Linked DNA regions of Macaca fascicularis. The protein of the gene in region 1 purifies or fractionates together with the protein of each later gene. This does not show direct contact. Links are inferred from orthologs where the notes say so. Each region holds a gene or a part of one and is shown on either strand. Other genes may lie near its edges. The genes, in order: USP11, MYH9, TCEAL4 and TCEAL2.

What was found.
Region 2: the proteins of USP11 (region 1) and MYH9 purify together in Homo sapiens (affinity purification with mass spectrometry; 3 studies listed by BioGRID, with this or other methods). This does not show direct contact. The link is inferred for Macaca fascicularis from reciprocal best matches to the Homo sapiens genes USP11 and MYH9.
Region 3: the proteins of USP11 (region 1) and TCEAL4 purify together in Homo sapiens (affinity purification with mass spectrometry; 3 studies listed by BioGRID, with this or other methods). This does not show direct contact. The link is inferred for Macaca fascicularis from reciprocal best matches to the Homo sapiens genes USP11 and TCEAL4.
Region 4: the proteins of USP11 (region 1) and TCEAL2 purify together in Homo sapiens (affinity purification with mass spectrometry; 3 studies listed by BioGRID). This does not show direct contact. The link is inferred for Macaca fascicularis from reciprocal best matches to the Homo sapiens genes USP11 and TCEAL2.

Annotation. Positions count from the first base shown.
Region 1 is NC_088395.1:47,350,414-47,353,546, reverse strand, and holds part of USP11 (ubiquitin carboxyl-terminal hydrolase 11), read right to left. Parts: coding exon 3,089-3,133; intron 2,706-3,088; coding exon 2,499-2,705; intron 1,597-2,498; coding exon 1,544-1,596; intron 1,413-1,543; coding exon 1,170-1,412; intron 1,078-1,169; coding exon 1,007-1,077; intron 724-1,006; coding exon 611-723; intron 1-610.
Region 2 is NC_088384.1:15,392,468-15,396,164, reverse strand, and holds part of MYH9 (myosin-9), read right to left. Parts: intron 3,437-3,697; coding exon 3,188-3,436; intron 2,066-3,187; coding exon 1,853-2,065; intron 1,708-1,852; coding exon 1,495-1,707; intron 1,182-1,494; coding exon 1,020-1,181; intron 1-1,019. UniProt on the Homo sapiens protein: Cellular myosin that appears to play a role in cytokinesis, cell shape, and specialized functions such as secretion and capping. Required for cortical actin clearance prior to oocyte exocytosis. Promotes cell motility in conjunction with S100A4.
Region 3 is NC_088395.1:109,960,302-109,964,186, forward strand, and holds TCEAL4 (transcription elongation factor A protein-like 4), read left to right. Parts: upstream 1-1,472; intron 1,473-1,658; coding exon of another isoform or gene 1,659-1,846; exon of another isoform or gene 1,847-1,903; intron 1,904-2,112; 5' UTR 2,113-2,139; coding exon 2,140-2,787; 3' UTR 2,788-3,191; downstream 3,192-3,885. Other genes in the region: uncharacterized protein, read right to left, coding at 830-1,472, 1,659-1,846. UniProt on the Homo sapiens protein: May be involved in transcriptional regulation.
Region 4 is NC_088395.1:108,615,986-108,620,063, forward strand, and holds TCEAL2 (transcription elongation factor A protein-like 2), read left to right. Parts: upstream 1-1,465; 5' UTR 1,466-1,593; intron 1,594-2,165; 5' UTR 2,166-2,239; intron 2,240-2,597; 5' UTR 2,598-2,624; coding exon 2,625-3,311; 3' UTR 3,312-3,507; downstream 3,508-4,078. UniProt on the Homo sapiens protein: May be involved in transcriptional regulation.

The DNA.
Region 1 (3,133 bases):
AGTCAGAGGAGGTCTCTCTGATGAGGTCACGTTTGATCGGAGACCTGAGCATCATAAGGAGTGAAATCCTATAGATCATTGGGAAACAACATTCCCGGAGAAGGAACAGCCCAGGTCAAGGCTCTGGGGTAGGAGTCTGCTCAGGGGATCGGTGGCCAGGGTAGCAGGAAAGGTTTGAGCGTGGAGGAGGGAGGAGAGAAGTGTATTTAAAAAGCTAAATATAGGCTGGGCGCGGTGGCTCACGCCTGTAATTCCAGCACTTTGGAAGTGTCCAGCACTTTGGAAGAGACAACTGAAGACAAGATGAAGATCACCTGAGGTCAGGAGTTCGAGACCAGCCTGGCCAACATGGCGAAACCTGTTTCTACTAAAAATACAAAAATTAGCCAGGCACAGTAACGGGTGCCTATAATCCCAGCTACTCAGGAGGCTTAGGCAGGAGAATTGCTTGATCCTGGGAGGCAGAGGTTGCAGCGAGCCGAGATTGCGCTACTGCACTTCAGCCTGGGTGACAGAGCCAGATTCTGTCTCGAAAAAAAAAAAAAAAAGCTAAATATAGTAGTGCCATCCAATGAAACCCCCACACACAGGCCCCGCTCTGGCCCCTCACCAGGGGTTTTCCTTCTCCAGGGTCTCCACAGTGGTGAAGAGCTCAATGCACTCCTGCAGCCGCACGGGAGCCTTCTTCATCACGTACCCAACGCAGTCATGCTTCACGTAGCCCTAGGGTTGGGTGAGCAGACGGCCAGGTGGCCGGGTGTGAGGACGGGTGGAGAAATGGGGAGTAGGGGCCCAGGAGGGGAGACACGCACCGAGTGGGTCAGAGCACCGACTTTGAAGCTAGGAACCTCAGGCCCTGGAGCTCTCAGTAGGTGTTCAGGCCCCAAGACCAGGCTTGACCTGGATCTCTTGGCTCTGTTCCTAGCTAGAGGAGTTGTGGAGAGGACGTACGAAGAGTTGAGGGGCAAGAGCTGAAAGTACCCCCCATCCCTGGGATCTCATTTACCTCAGCCTCTATCTCGTCATAGTAACGCTTCTTCATCTCTGGCTCCCAGTCAATAGCAATGTATGGCTGGGCTGGGGGCGAGGGAGAGATGGTCATGGTTCCTGCTGCCAGGAAATCTCCCCTCCGGCCTCCCCAGCCCTCATTGATAGCCAAAGGAGAATACCATGGACTTCTTCAGGGGAGGTTGTGCGGTCACTGGTCCCATTGGAGTTCACCGTCTGCAGGGTGAACAGCTGCTTGCGCCGTCGCCTTGGGGGCCACTGAGATGTGCCAAGGCAATTGTCCAGGAGGAATGGGCACCTGTTCGTGACTCCAGAGCTGGGCCCAGCCTGCTCTGGCTCAGGGTCTCGGAGGCTGCCCCCAGTTGAGGGCCCAGGGACGTCGTCTTTATCCTCTTCGTCATCTTCTAGGACAGGAGGATGTCAGAGATGGGAAGGTGTGAGCCTCAAGTGCTAAGATGCAATGCACACCTAGACGAACCCCGTGTGGGTAAGACCTAACCCAGAGCCCCCGCCCACTGACTGTTAGCCCCCTCACCTTTCTCATCCCCATCGTCCTCATCATCTGAGTTGGGTTTAGACACGTAGCGTCTGCAACAGAGCAAAGGAGACTCCCAAGGCAGGGGTACAAGGACAGTGGGGATAGAGCCCAGGATTTTACTTAGATGATAATGGGAAGCCACTGGAAGACCCACACGTAAACCATTCTGAATTTGAGGTGTGAAAGGGCTGAGGGCGTGATGCGTAAATGCACGAAGAGGCCAAGGCTGTCAGCAGTGGCCTGAGAATGAAGGAACTTGTGTCCCAGTCAGAGGTGTGGAGTGTGATTAGCTGGGCATGGTGGCACACGGCTGTAATCTCAGCTATTTGGGAGGCTGAGGCAGGAGAATTGCTTGAATCCAGGAGATAGAGGTTGCAGTGAACCAGATTGTGCCACTGCACTCCAGCCTGGGCAACAGAGCAAGACTCCGTTTCAAAAAAAAAAAAAGAAAAAAAAAGAGTGTGGAGCGTGGACTTTTAGTCTAATAAGCCACTGCTAGACAGGCACATGCCAGCTGTAACTTCCCATCAGGGAAGGCCTCTAAGGAGTGACTTCTGAGTGCAAGATGAGGGGCTAGAATTCTGATAACACAATGTTTTGTGTGCCACGGTAAAGACTCTAGATTTTTGGCACAATGAAAATTTGTCAGCAAAAAGACAAAAAACCAAGACTCTCCCAGGAGGCACAACTGACCCCAGGAGAGACAACTGAAGACAAGATGAAGTTGTCTGTGTTTTGTGCATCTTGTTCACCTCTGTATCCCTAGCACCCAAGAGAGGCAGTAGCAAAGCCAGAGGTCTAGAGAAAGAAAAAACCCTACAAGTTCTTCTATGTCCACGTAAAGTTTGGACTGTCTTTTGTTTGTTGCAGGGGAGGTGTCAAATAAGCAGCTGAACACCCAAGTTGGAGTTCAGACCCCACCACCCCCGCCCCTGGGGAAGAGGACACTTACGAGAGCCGGTACATCAGGACGTTATACAGGCCCTCCCAGGTGAAGCGGTCCCGGGGCACTGATACCAGGAGGGGGTGCCCAAAAAGCATCAGGCCATAGTAGGAATTGTTGTAGTCACGGGCAGGGGTGCGCTCCCGCAGGTAGACAGGAACCACGATGTCCTCTCTCGATCCCTCGATGGCCTCAATGCGACCTGACACCTCATAGCTGTGGGGGGTGGAGAGCAGGCACACCTGATCGGGGCCCCCAGAGACTCCCTAACTCTGCCCTGGCTGCCCCACCCACTCATCCTCACAGCCTGAAAGTATTTTTATTTTTTTTTATTTATTTATTTTTGAGATGGAGTTTCGCCCTGTTGCCCAGGCTGGAGTGCAGTGGCGTGATCTCGGCTCACTGCAAACTCCGCCTCTCGGGTTCACGCCATTCTCCTGCCTCAGTCTCCCAAGGCACGTGGCTGAAGCTCTGCACAGGGCAGGTGCCCAGTGAATGAGGCAGAGCAGGGAAGAGAGAAGGTGGTTAAGGCAGGACCATATAGAAGGAAGTGGACCAAGTTCCTGAGGGACCGCCATCTCCCCGTCATCCCCACTCACACGAAGATATCATCGCGGTCCAAGATGCTGCTCAGAGGCTCCTCC
Region 2 (3,697 bases), on another chromosome or scaffold:
CCCCTACCCTTGTGGGTCACCTCGCCAGCAGGGCTCATGGCTGGTGCTCCGCTCGATGCTTTATTTAACCAACTAACCGTGGTGACAGGGCGAAAAGGCAACTAAAGGCAAACACCTCTGTGACCCACCCCATCATGCACACTTTGACAGTGCTGGTCACCGTGGACGTGAGCCCAAGCTGAGCTTCATTTCCTACTTTCTGTCCCCTCCTGTGGGCCGGAAGCTGGTGCCCACGGTGCCACCCCTAATGTGCACCTGCCCCTCAAAACCAGTGCCCAGCCTGCCGGGCCGTCCCCACCACAGGCAGGAAACACCTTTCCTTTTGTTATTCTCCTGTTATTTGTTAGAACAATAAAGATCTTTGCAGATAAATCCTAAATTGAGATTCCCCAAACCAAAGAGCATGACTGGCTGTGTACAGCTCAACCACACCAGTAAAAAAATGCCACCAGCAATCACAGTAGCTATGCCCACAACCCTGACCACAGAGAGGTTTTAAAGTTTTTGTGGGTTTTTTTTTTTACACTTAAAAAATTTTTTTTAAACTAAGGTTATTCTTGTTACATGATATGGTGTATCAGAGCTGTTTTTACGTGTTAATTATTCTTTAATTATTGGTGAGGTAAAGATTTCCAAGTACGTGTCCCGCACTCTGGGCTGCTGCTCAGAACCATCACCCCAGAGCCCAGAAGGCTGGAGGGTGTCAGCACCCGGCTGATTCTGGAAATCTGCATTAAGTGAGACCTTCTCGAACTCCACCCATGTCTAGGCTTGTACTTGTTTGCTTCTGTGTTTTATGTACTCAGTCATTCACCGTTTTGCAAGTCTGCTGTTGGACTATCATGTTTCCACTCACCTCCGAGCCTCTGAGTCTCTGTCAGTGAGATGGGGCTGGAAGCACCCAGGACCTTCCCAGGAGGTGCCACCCTGCCAGGTTCCTGCCCCGGGCCCGGCACCTTCACATGTAGTTGGCTGGCTTGGGCCCCGCCCACCCTCACCTGGGCCCCGCCCACCCTCACCTGCAGCTTCCGCAGCTGTTTGATGGCTTCCTCCCGGTTCTTGTTGGCTGAGTCGATGTGAGCCTCCAGGTCCTTCAGGTCCATCTCCAGCTTCTTCCGGGCAGCCACTGCCATCGAGCGCTGCTTCCTCTCATCCTCCAGCTCTGCCTCCATCTCCCGCACCTGGGGGAAGGGAAATCAACAGCTTGGGAAGCTGGACCCACTCAGAGACCCTGCCCTAGCTCTGAACTCAGGAGCCTCAGGCCAGTTCTGCAGGATCCATGGGGCCTTGGGGGGCCAGTGGGGATTACTGACCATAAGAACTCTAAGAAGGTGAGTCACTGAACCCCGAGACAGGGGGCTGGAAAGGAGGGATATGGGAGGGGAGGCGTGGTCAAGGGGCCCTAACATAATCCAAGTGGAAGGAGAGAACAGAAGCCTGCGTGAAGCCAGGGCAGCCTTGGGCACTCGTGGGGAAGCAGGAGGCCATGCACACCTGTCTGACCAGCTGCTTCTTCTTCTCCTCGCTCTGCTCATCCCGGCCCTGCAGATCCCGCTCGAACTGGGCCTTCATGGCCTGCAGGTTGACCTCCAGCCGCAGTTTGGCGTCTTCAGTGGCCTGCAGCTCGTCCTCCAGCTCTTCCAGCTGCGTCTTCATCTCCTCCACCTGCTGCTCCAGGGCCCGCTTGGACTTCTCCAGCTCGTGGACCTGAGCCCCAGAGAGCCCAAGTCAGGAGCAAAGGGACTGGCAGGTACCGGGGTCTGCGAGACCCGGAGTCTGTGCACACAGCGACCCTCTGTGATGACCCCCCTCGGGCCCCTCCCAAGAGCCTGCTGCCAGGTCCAGCACTCACGCTCTTGCCCACGTCGTCCTTGGAGCTCATGAGGTCCTCCATCTCCGTGCGGAACTGCTTGTTGAGCCGCTCCAGCTCCGCCTTCTGCTCCATGGCTTCCTCCAGGGCCCGGGCCAGCGACAGCGCCTTGGTCTCCTTCTCTCGGGCCTCCGCCTCAGCCCGGTCGCGTTCCTCTGCGTACTTGGCAGAGATGGTCTTCTCCTCTGCCAGGAGCTGGGAGAGAGGTGGGCACCATGAGGCTCAGCACCACAGGCTCAGAGCTACGGCCCCCGGCGGGGCAGAGCAGCTGGGCCTAAGCTCCCTGGGGAACGCGGAGCCCAGAGGCCACGGCGGAGAGGAGCAGATCTAGGAAGCACAGGCCCAGGGCTGTGCCCGGGACAACACACACAGTCCTGTGCATCCTCATGACGGGATGACTGCCGACTGGGGCAGGCACTGCTGCGAACGCCATGTCGTAACATCTGTTTAATTTTCATCACTTACTAATCGTAACCCTTTATGGCATGCTGCCCCTTCCATGAGAGCCCTCCAAACCTGTAAGAGCTTTGGTTCTCCTGAACCAAAGTTGGCATTTGGTTGGCATTTTTCACGGAGTGAATGCCAAGCTGGCTACCAGGAAGCCTGAACCCCATTTGTGGTCTCCTCTAACGAAAGCTTCTGTCCCCTGGCATCTGTTCTCTGTGTGCACCCACCTGGCTCTATCCTATTTCCCCAGCTTCCCTTCCTTTTGGCCCAAACCTTAATTATTCCATGGGTGGCTGACCACTTCCTAAAGCGCCAGATAGTGTATTCTTTAGAGTACGCAGGCCCTACGGTCTCTGCAGCAATGGCTCAACCCCACTACCACAGCTCAAAGCAACCAAAGACAACGCGAGAACGACGGAGTGTGGCTGTGTTCACTCCATCTTTCCCCACGAAACGCAGTGGGCTGGACCCGACTGCCGCAGTCAGCTGCCCGGTGTCTTCTACTGTTCTATCCCGCCCCTGAGTCCGCATCCCCCTCAGCTGCCCTCTGATATTTTGGAAAAGGAAGCGATATGAGTGCATAAATAAATCGTTTAAAAGACAGTCAAACCACTTAATTCCAGAAAATCTGAAAAATGTAAAAAACCAGAAAGGAAAAGTCACTCCTCAACCCATTGCAGGAAGACACCCTCTTCCACTGGCCTTCTCCCTGCGTCCCTCGACAAGCCAGAGACGGGGGGGCCTCCAAGCGCTGCCCCGCACGGCCCTCCCGGGCAAGACCTTGAGGGAGCCCAGGCTTTCTCTGACGGGCCCTTCGCCTTGGACTCAGTGCTTGAAGAAATACAAAGGACGGAGCCAGTGGCCACACACCTGGTCAAACTTCTTCTGCTTCTTCTCCAGGTTGCACGCGCTCTGGCGTTGATGGTCCAGGTCCACCAGCAGGTCATCCAGCTCCTGCTGCAGTCGCGTCTTGGTCTTCTCCAGCTTGTCGTAGGCGGCCACCTTCTCCTCGTGCCGCTGGCTCAGGCCCTCCAGGTCCTTCTGGAGCTTCCTCTTCACCTCCTCAGCGGTTTCCAGGCACCCCACACTGTCCTCCATCTTCTTCTTCATGTCGGCCACCTGGGCAGGAGCCAGGAGTAAGCAGACGCCCGAGATGGCACCTGCTCAGGTGGCACACCCGTCCCTGAGGCAGCTGGGAGCCTGCCTGCCACACCGTGGAAGGGGCACCAGGGATCCGCCCAGTTATGAAACCGCCTCCCCCAGTCACTTCCCTCTCCACGGGGGCGAGACAAATGGAGCTTCTGCAAAGGGGCATCCGTCTACCGTGTGAAGCCCGGGGGAGGTTGACCCTCAGGCCCACTGTGGGGGCTCCCAGCCCTC
Region 3 (3,885 bases), about 63 Mb from region 1:
CATTATTAAGTGGCACGTGACTATATTTAAAGGCCTTCCACACCAAAAGCTTATGTGGAGATAAACGGAGACTACCCATAAGAGAACAAACAAGTGCTACTTATTCACAGCTTTTTTATAGCAAGGAAGTCAAGCCACCATCATTTGAATCTGGCAGAGATTCAAAGACAGGCAGGGGAGTGGGAAAGCTTTATAGCGGAAAACAAAAACACAAAGACTTCAAGTATGCTCTGATTGGATGTTGTTGACGTGAGGAAGCTAGAGGCAGGCCAACTAGAGGCAAGCATCCTATGTGATTGAGTATGGGTTCATATTTGGGTTTTTCTTGTTTGTCATCAGGTCAAAAAAATTAAAAAGGCCAGAAAGGCTAGCAAATTGATTAAAGTCCTGAACATTTCTGCAGATGCTATACTTTGGCTTCTTGAGCTGCTTGCAGCAACGGTTGTGGGTCTCAGTTCTATTTTCGTATGTGGTCTGGTCATTGTCTCTGTACATTCAGTTTCTCACTTAAGATAAATTAATCGTTTTTATTTTGCTTCAAATATAACTTTTTTTATTCATTTGAAAATTTATGTTTGTACATGTCAGGAAAAAGGGACAATTTCATTTATTTTGGAAAATTTTTATTAAGTTTTTTCTAAAGTCGATATTCTATTCTTTATACAGTACTTGAGTTCACATTTATACGATTTTATCGGGTGGGTCTACGTTATTTCTGTGGAATTTAAGAGCAACATTATCAAGACTCCTCCTCTGGACCGCCCAACTCATTAAAAAAAAAAAAAACAACTTTGCGATTTTCATTAAAATTCCTTCTTTGATTAATTTCTTAACAAGAAGAAAAGGACAAAAGGGTCCAGGGAGGTGAGAGGGTACCTGCTGGAGAGAGGTGGTGGGTAGCTGGAAGCGGCTGGCTAGGAGGCGGGGCGTGGGGCGTGGGGCGGTGGAACTCCTGTGCTGCGGCATTCACGTGATCTGCCTGGGCGCAGATGTGGGCACCGGTCCGAGTGCCCGCCCTCTGTCCCCGCGGCTGGGTCCCGTCTGCTCCAGTTCCTGGGCTCCTAATTCTTGGTCCAGCTTCCTCCAGGTCAGTGTGCGGGCCTTCCACGCTGCCAGCGGAATACTGGAATGGCGGAAGGGGAACGGGTACAGTACCGGGAAAGGCTGGGGGTGGGGTCGGGTCGAGTCGAGGGAAGCTGGCCCGAGTGTGGACAGAGATGGCGGTGGGAAAACGGCTAAAGGTGGCTGAGGGGGAGCACGTAGGCAGTGGGCAGAGGGTGAGGAAGGCGAGCACCTCCAAGTATCCATGCTCGCTTTCCAGGCACATCCTCTTTTCTGCCCTCCGTCCATTTTGGAGCCGGAGATGGTGGGCTGGGGACGCCCCAGTAGTGAGACAGTGGAAGTAAACCCCCTCTGCCGTTCCCGTACATAGAGAAAAACGTTGACCGCGAGGCTGGGGAGGAGAGTTGCCTCTGAGGAAGAAGGACACAGAGACCCAAAATTAGTTTGGAAAGCATCCTGGTTTGGTGCCCGAGGCCTGGAAAGAAATGGCGGCTGGGGTGCGGGGGAGGTAGGGGAGGAAAACGTTGGATGAGAAGGGCCTGGACTCAGGAAAGGGAACCGAGTCCCTGTGAGCCCGCTGAGCGCGCAGCCCCTACCCCTGTCTCCTGTCTGTCCGCAGGTCTGCGCGTCTGTTGTTCCCAGCGCTCTGCGAAGCCTGAAAAAGAGGAGCAACCTGTCCAGAATCCCCGCAGGTCCGTGAAAGTAGGGGGCTGCATGGACAGGGGCCCACAAGGGTTGAGAGTGTGGAGGGCCCGGCCAGAGCCGAATTGGGGCCCCCGCCCATCCCCCCACCCACATTAACACACACCTTACCAGGCTGAACCACTGCAGAGAAAGTGACAGGGCTTGCCAGGCAATGGCTGGCTCACGTGTGTGGGAGGAGTGGCAGGCTACGTGGTGGGCAGAAGGCCCTCTTGGAGGCCCCGCCAGCTCAGGGGAACCCTCATCAGGGGTGAGATGCAAGTACTATCCAGACCTGCATTTCATCCCACGCACTCAGTCTCCCATGTCTCCTCTTTGTCTCCTCTTCCCTCCACCCCCATCCCCCAGGGCACGAAAAGGAGGGGAAATCTCGACATGGAAAAACTCTACAATGAAAATGAAGGCATGGCTTCAAACCAAGGAAAGATGAAAAATGAAGAACAGCCACAGGACGAGAGAAAGCCAGAAGTAGCTTGTACTCTGGAAGACAAGAAGTTGGAAAACGAGGGAAAGACAGAAAACAAGGGCAAAACAGATGAGGAAATGTTAAAGGATAAAGGAAAGCCGGAGAGTGAGGGAAAGGCAAAAGAAGAAGGAAAGTCAGAGAGGGAGGGAGAGTCAGAGATGGAGGGAGGATCAGAGAGAGAGGGAAAACCAGGGATAGAGGGAAAGCCAGAGAGTCAAGGACAGCCAGGGAGTGAAACAAGGGCTGCAGGAAAGCGCCCAGCTGAGGGTGATGTACCCAGGAAAGCCAAAAGAAAAACTAATAAGGGGCTGGCTCATTACCTCAAGGAGTATAAAGAGGCCATACACGATATGAATTTCAGCAATGAGGACATGATAAGAGAATTTGACAATATGGCTAAGGTGCAGGATGAGAAGAGAAAAAGCAAACAGAAATTGGGGGCGTTTTTGTGGATGCAAAGAAATTTACAGGACCCCTTCTACCCTAGAGGCCCAAGGGAATTCAGGGGTGGCTGCAGGGCCCCACGAAGGGACATTGAAGACATTCCTTATGTGTAGTGTCCCTGGCAGGCATTTACCAGGCCATGTGCTTTACCCCGACGGTAGTACTTTACTTTAGGCATCCCTCCTGTTACTAGCAGCCTTTTGACCCAACTGCAACGCGGTGTTCTTAGTAGCAAATTTTCATCCGTTACATGGAAAGAATGTTGATGGTGCATTGTAAAATTAAAAAACACAACTTGCAGAACCAAACATATGGCATCAGTACATTTTTGTAAAACTACAAAGATACCTAGTAATTTATGTATAGAAAACAATTCTGAAAGCTGTGTCAACTAAAAGATTAACAGTGGTTATCTGTGCGTGATTTTTTCTGTACTTTTTTGTTCATCTGTCCATTTTTCTCCTAAAAACAGATTTCTTAATCATAAAAATAATAAAAGTTAAAATATTGGAAAACAGTGAATATTTGAATTTCATTCATTTGAATAAGCATTCAAATGAACTGCCCAGTGAACTTATAAAGACAGTGGATATACTTAAAATTCTTGTTGTCAGGACATAAAATGATGGGTAAAAGTTGCATTACCTCTGGGACTGGAAGCTGGAGGAGTCAACTCGATGGTTATTACAGCTCCATTGCTGTAAGGGACAGCCTTGACATCTGTGAAACGGGGATAAAATTAGCCTAGACATGTGGAGAAGATCAAATGAGGTATTGAGTGTGTGAGCTGTGTTAGGCTGGCTCCTACTCTCTCCCCTTGCACTAGCAGAACCAGTACCCAGTCAGACGCTTGGGGAGGGCTGAAGGAGGTCTCACCTGTGCCCAGAAATAAGTCCAGACAGCTGAGAGATGGGTGCCACTCTTTCTGGGTAATGCCATACTTGAAAGGTAGTATGCCCCTTTCTCATGGATCCTGCACCCTCCTAAGGCAGTAGCTGCTGCTGCTGGGCTGGAGACCATGATGGACTAAGCAACACTATGTCCCAACAGAAAAGTGGAGAATTCCGTCTCTACCTACAATAGAGTTATCCTAATTCAGGTTGTTAGTACCCAATTGTCACTTGGGCCTTGATATTTTATAAAGTTTTTACAAAACACTGCTTTCCATGTTTTTTGTTGACTTGTGTGTATTTTTGCATATAGCCATTTTC
Region 4 (4,078 bases), about 61 Mb from region 1:
CAACTGATTTGATATTATTTTCATCAAATTCTTGAATAATTATAATAATTTTATGAAAGTTTATACTGAGGAAATGGAAACACCTAGCCTCTATAATTCAGGAAAAAATTCAACATTGAGGACAGTACTGTTGGTTATGTGGTGATAATGACAAACACACATATTGATAGAGCAAAATATTGTAGGAAGATCGAGGTTTTACTAAATGAAGAAAGATGTGTAGCAGAAATATAATCAGAATTGTTTGTGTAACATACATAATTCATAATCATATAATCATGATAAGGTATTTTGCAAACCAAAATAGTTGTTGCCCAGATTTACACACACAAAAAAACACACGACATACACATATATATGTACACAATATACATCTACACATATATGTGTGTATAAATAAACATATGTGTATATATACATATACATGTCACTACACTGTAGAAGTTAAAATATTGGTAACTTTTAGTTTTTGTGGGTGGTAGCTTCACAAATGTGAAAGAAAAGGAAAGAAAAAAAGACAAAGGATGGGCAGGGAAGGACATAACAGGACAGGAAAGAAAAGGGAAGGAAGAGGGACAAGCAGGGATCAATAATAAGGGTGTCTTGTAAACCAAGGACTATGATGAATTTGTACATCTGAAATTCATATTTAAAAGGTTTTAATGCTTTCTTTTCTACCTGTCTGAGATTCTCTCTCTATGAAAACTGATCAAATGTTGGAAGGTAAGTTTCAAGTGCGCAGAGAGGCCATGGGAGATGGCAAGAAGGAAGTTGGTGAAATAAATTTGGGGTACACGGGCTTTTAGGTCCCTCAGGGACTCTCGGGCGGTGATGTCCAATAGAGAGTTGGCAAAGTTGATATGAGACACGGAGAAGGGAATAGCCTGGAGATGTAGATCTGGGAGTCATCGGTGCTTTCTGGAAATGAATGAGATCACACAGGGAGAGACAACTTGAGGACTGAGGAGAGAGGAGGCCCAGGACAGAACCCCAGGAACACCGCCACTCAAGGTGGCAGCTCAGCTTCCTGGCAGGCGTCACTACCCCGGGCTCTGGAGTCAGGCAGAGCCAGTATTGAAAGTGGGCTGTGGAGTTCTGGGGCTGAGCCCTCTTGGCAAAGTCGGGTACCCTCTTTGATCAGCTGTCACACCTGGCGATAATGGGCATCAGAGAGAGATGCCTTGCGAGGATGCTGTGAGCTGCGTCAGGTAAAGCACCTGGGGTCAGAAAGCCACCCCTCCTCCTCTTCTCCGCGACCCCACTTTGCTACACAAACGCACCGAGACTCCGACAGTCCCCAGCCTCCGGTCCCTCAGGGATGGAAGATGAGGTATGTCAGGCAAGAGGGGGCGCCGAGCTCCAGGGTGAGGTGTGTCGGGCAAGAGCTGGGCCGAGCTCCAGTGACGCGGCGCTCACGTGATCCGTCGGACGCCTACGTGGGCACCAGCCCCCACGCCAGCCCGCCAGCCAGCCCAGCGGTCGGGTCCCGGCGCCCGCGCAGAATAAGCTGTCTGAGCTGCCCAGACTGCTGGGGAGCAGCGAGCCGGCTTCCGCGAGCCGGAGGAAGCACAGGCGTGTCCTGGGTACCCGCAGGTCAGTGTGAAAGCGGGCGCTGTCGGCGGCCCCTGGGACAGGGGTGGAGGGGGCTGGCAGTAGGATTGGGGAGGGAGCGGAGAAGGAATCCTGTAGATTGGTGAGGAAGGGGATGCCTGCGGAGCGGACCGGGGTGGGGACAGGGGAGGGAGAACTCCCGAAGCGAGCCTGGCTCGCCTTCACGACGCCCCCTTGCACTGAGTCATCCATCCATTTTTAGTGCTAGAAATGAGGGGTGGGGGTAGCGACTCCGCAGTGCGACAGTGAAACGTAGACATATTCTAGAAATAATCCCTTCTCACAATCTACGCCCATAGAAACACTTGATCTCCGCAAAAATGGGGTGGCGCTGGGGCAGGTTGTCTCAGGGAAGGGGGACACAGAGACAAACGCAGTTTGGAAAGCATCCTGGTTTGGTGCCCGAGGCCTGGAAAGAAATGGCGGTTGGGGTGCGGGGGATGTAGGGGAGAAAAACGTTGGGTGAACAGGGCCTGGACTCAGGAAAGGGAACCGAGTCCCCTGTGAGCCCGCTGAGCGCGCAGTCCCTGCCCCTGTCTCCTATCTGTCCGCAGGTCTGCGCGTCTGTTGTTCCCAGCGCTCTAAGAGGCCTGAAAAGGAGGAGCAACCTGTCCAGAATCCCCCGCAGGTTCGTGAAAGCAGGGGGCTGCATGGACAGGGGCCCACAAGGGTTGAGAGTGTGAAGGACCCAGCTAGGGCCGAATCGGGGCCCCTGCCCTTCCACCCACCCACATGAACACACACCTTACCAGGCTGAACCAGTGCAGAGAAGGTGGCAGGGCCTGTCAGGGAACAGCTGGCTCACGTGTGTGGGAGGAGTGGCAGGCTATGTGGTGGGCAGAAGGCCCTCTTGGAGGTCCGGTCAGCTTAGGGGAACCCTCACCAGGGGTGAGATGCAAGTAGTATCCAGACCTGCATTCCACGCCAGGCCCTCAGTCTCCCATGTCTCCTCTTTGTCTCCCCTTCCCTCAACCCGCATCCCCCAGGAAAGGAAAAGGAGGGGAAATCTCGACATGGAAAAATTCTTCAATGAAAATGAAGGAATGCTTTGGAACCAAGGAAAGATAGAAAATGAAGAACAGCCACCGGACGAGGGAAAGCCAGAAGTAGCTTGTACTCTGGAAGACAAGACGTTAGAAAACGAGAGAAAGACAGAAAACAAGGGCAAGACAGGAGATGAGGAACCGTTAAAGGATAAAGAAAAGCCAGAGAGTGCAGGAAAGGCAAAAGGAGAAGGAAAGTCAGAGAGGAAGGGAAAGTCAGAGATGGAGGGAGGATCAGAGAGAGAGGGAAAGCCAGAGAGAGGGGGAAGGGCAGAGGGGGAACGAGAGCCAGACAGTGAAAGAGAGCCAGAGAGTGAGGGAGAGCCAGAAAGTGAAAGGAGGTCTGCAGGAAAGCGCCCAGCTGAGGATGATATACCCAGGAAAGCCAAAAGAAAAACAAACAAGGGGCTGGCTCAGTACCTCAAGCAATATAAGGAAGCCATACATGATATGAATTTCAGCAATGAGGACATGATAAGAGAATTTGACAACATGGCTAGGGTGGAGGATAAAAGGAGAAAAAGCAAACAGAAATTGGGGGCGTTTTTGTGGATGCAAAGAAATTTACAGGACCCCTTCTATCCTAGGGGTCCAAGGGAATTCAGGGGTGGCTGCAGGGCCCCACGAAGGGACACTGAAGACATTCCTTACGTGTAGTGTCCCTGGCAGGCATTTATCAGGCCATATGTTTTAACCTTATGGTAATACTTTGCTTTAGTTGTTCCTCCTGCTACCAGTAGCCTTTTGACCCACCTGCCAGTGCTTGCTTGCTCTGTTTCAGTAGCAGATTTTCACACCTGTGCATTTCAGAGACGTCATGATTCATGGAAAAATAAAGCAGCTTGTAATATCATCTGCAGAATCTGTCTGTTTTTGTTAAATACATGAAAGGTTAACAGTGGTTTTCTGAGTTGTGAGCTAGCAGGTGATTTCATTTCTTTGTTTTCTTTCTTTCTACTAATCTTTCTTTTCCCAGAGAACACAAATTACTTTTCTCACAAAAATAATAAAATATTTTTAAAAATCAGAACACAGTATGTAAAAAACAAAGAGAATAACTGTCCAGTGAACTTATGAAGTTCAGTAGAGACACTTAAAGTTCTTGTTGTCAGAACTTAAAACGATAGGTAAAATTCACATTACCTACCTGTGGGACTCATCTGGAGAAGTCAACCTGGGGTTATTACAGATCCATTGCTCTAATGGACAGTCTTGTTGTTTGTCAAATGGAGATAATACTTCGCTTTTCAGAACTGCTGAGTGGGTTGGATGAGGTAGAGAATATATGTGTTGGGTTGACATCTACCTTCTCCCCTGCTCTAGCAGAAAAAATACCCCCTCAGACACTTGGAAGAGAACTAGGGTAAATCTTACCTGTATCCAGGAATAAGTCTAGGAAACTGAAAGGTGGGTGCCATCCTCTC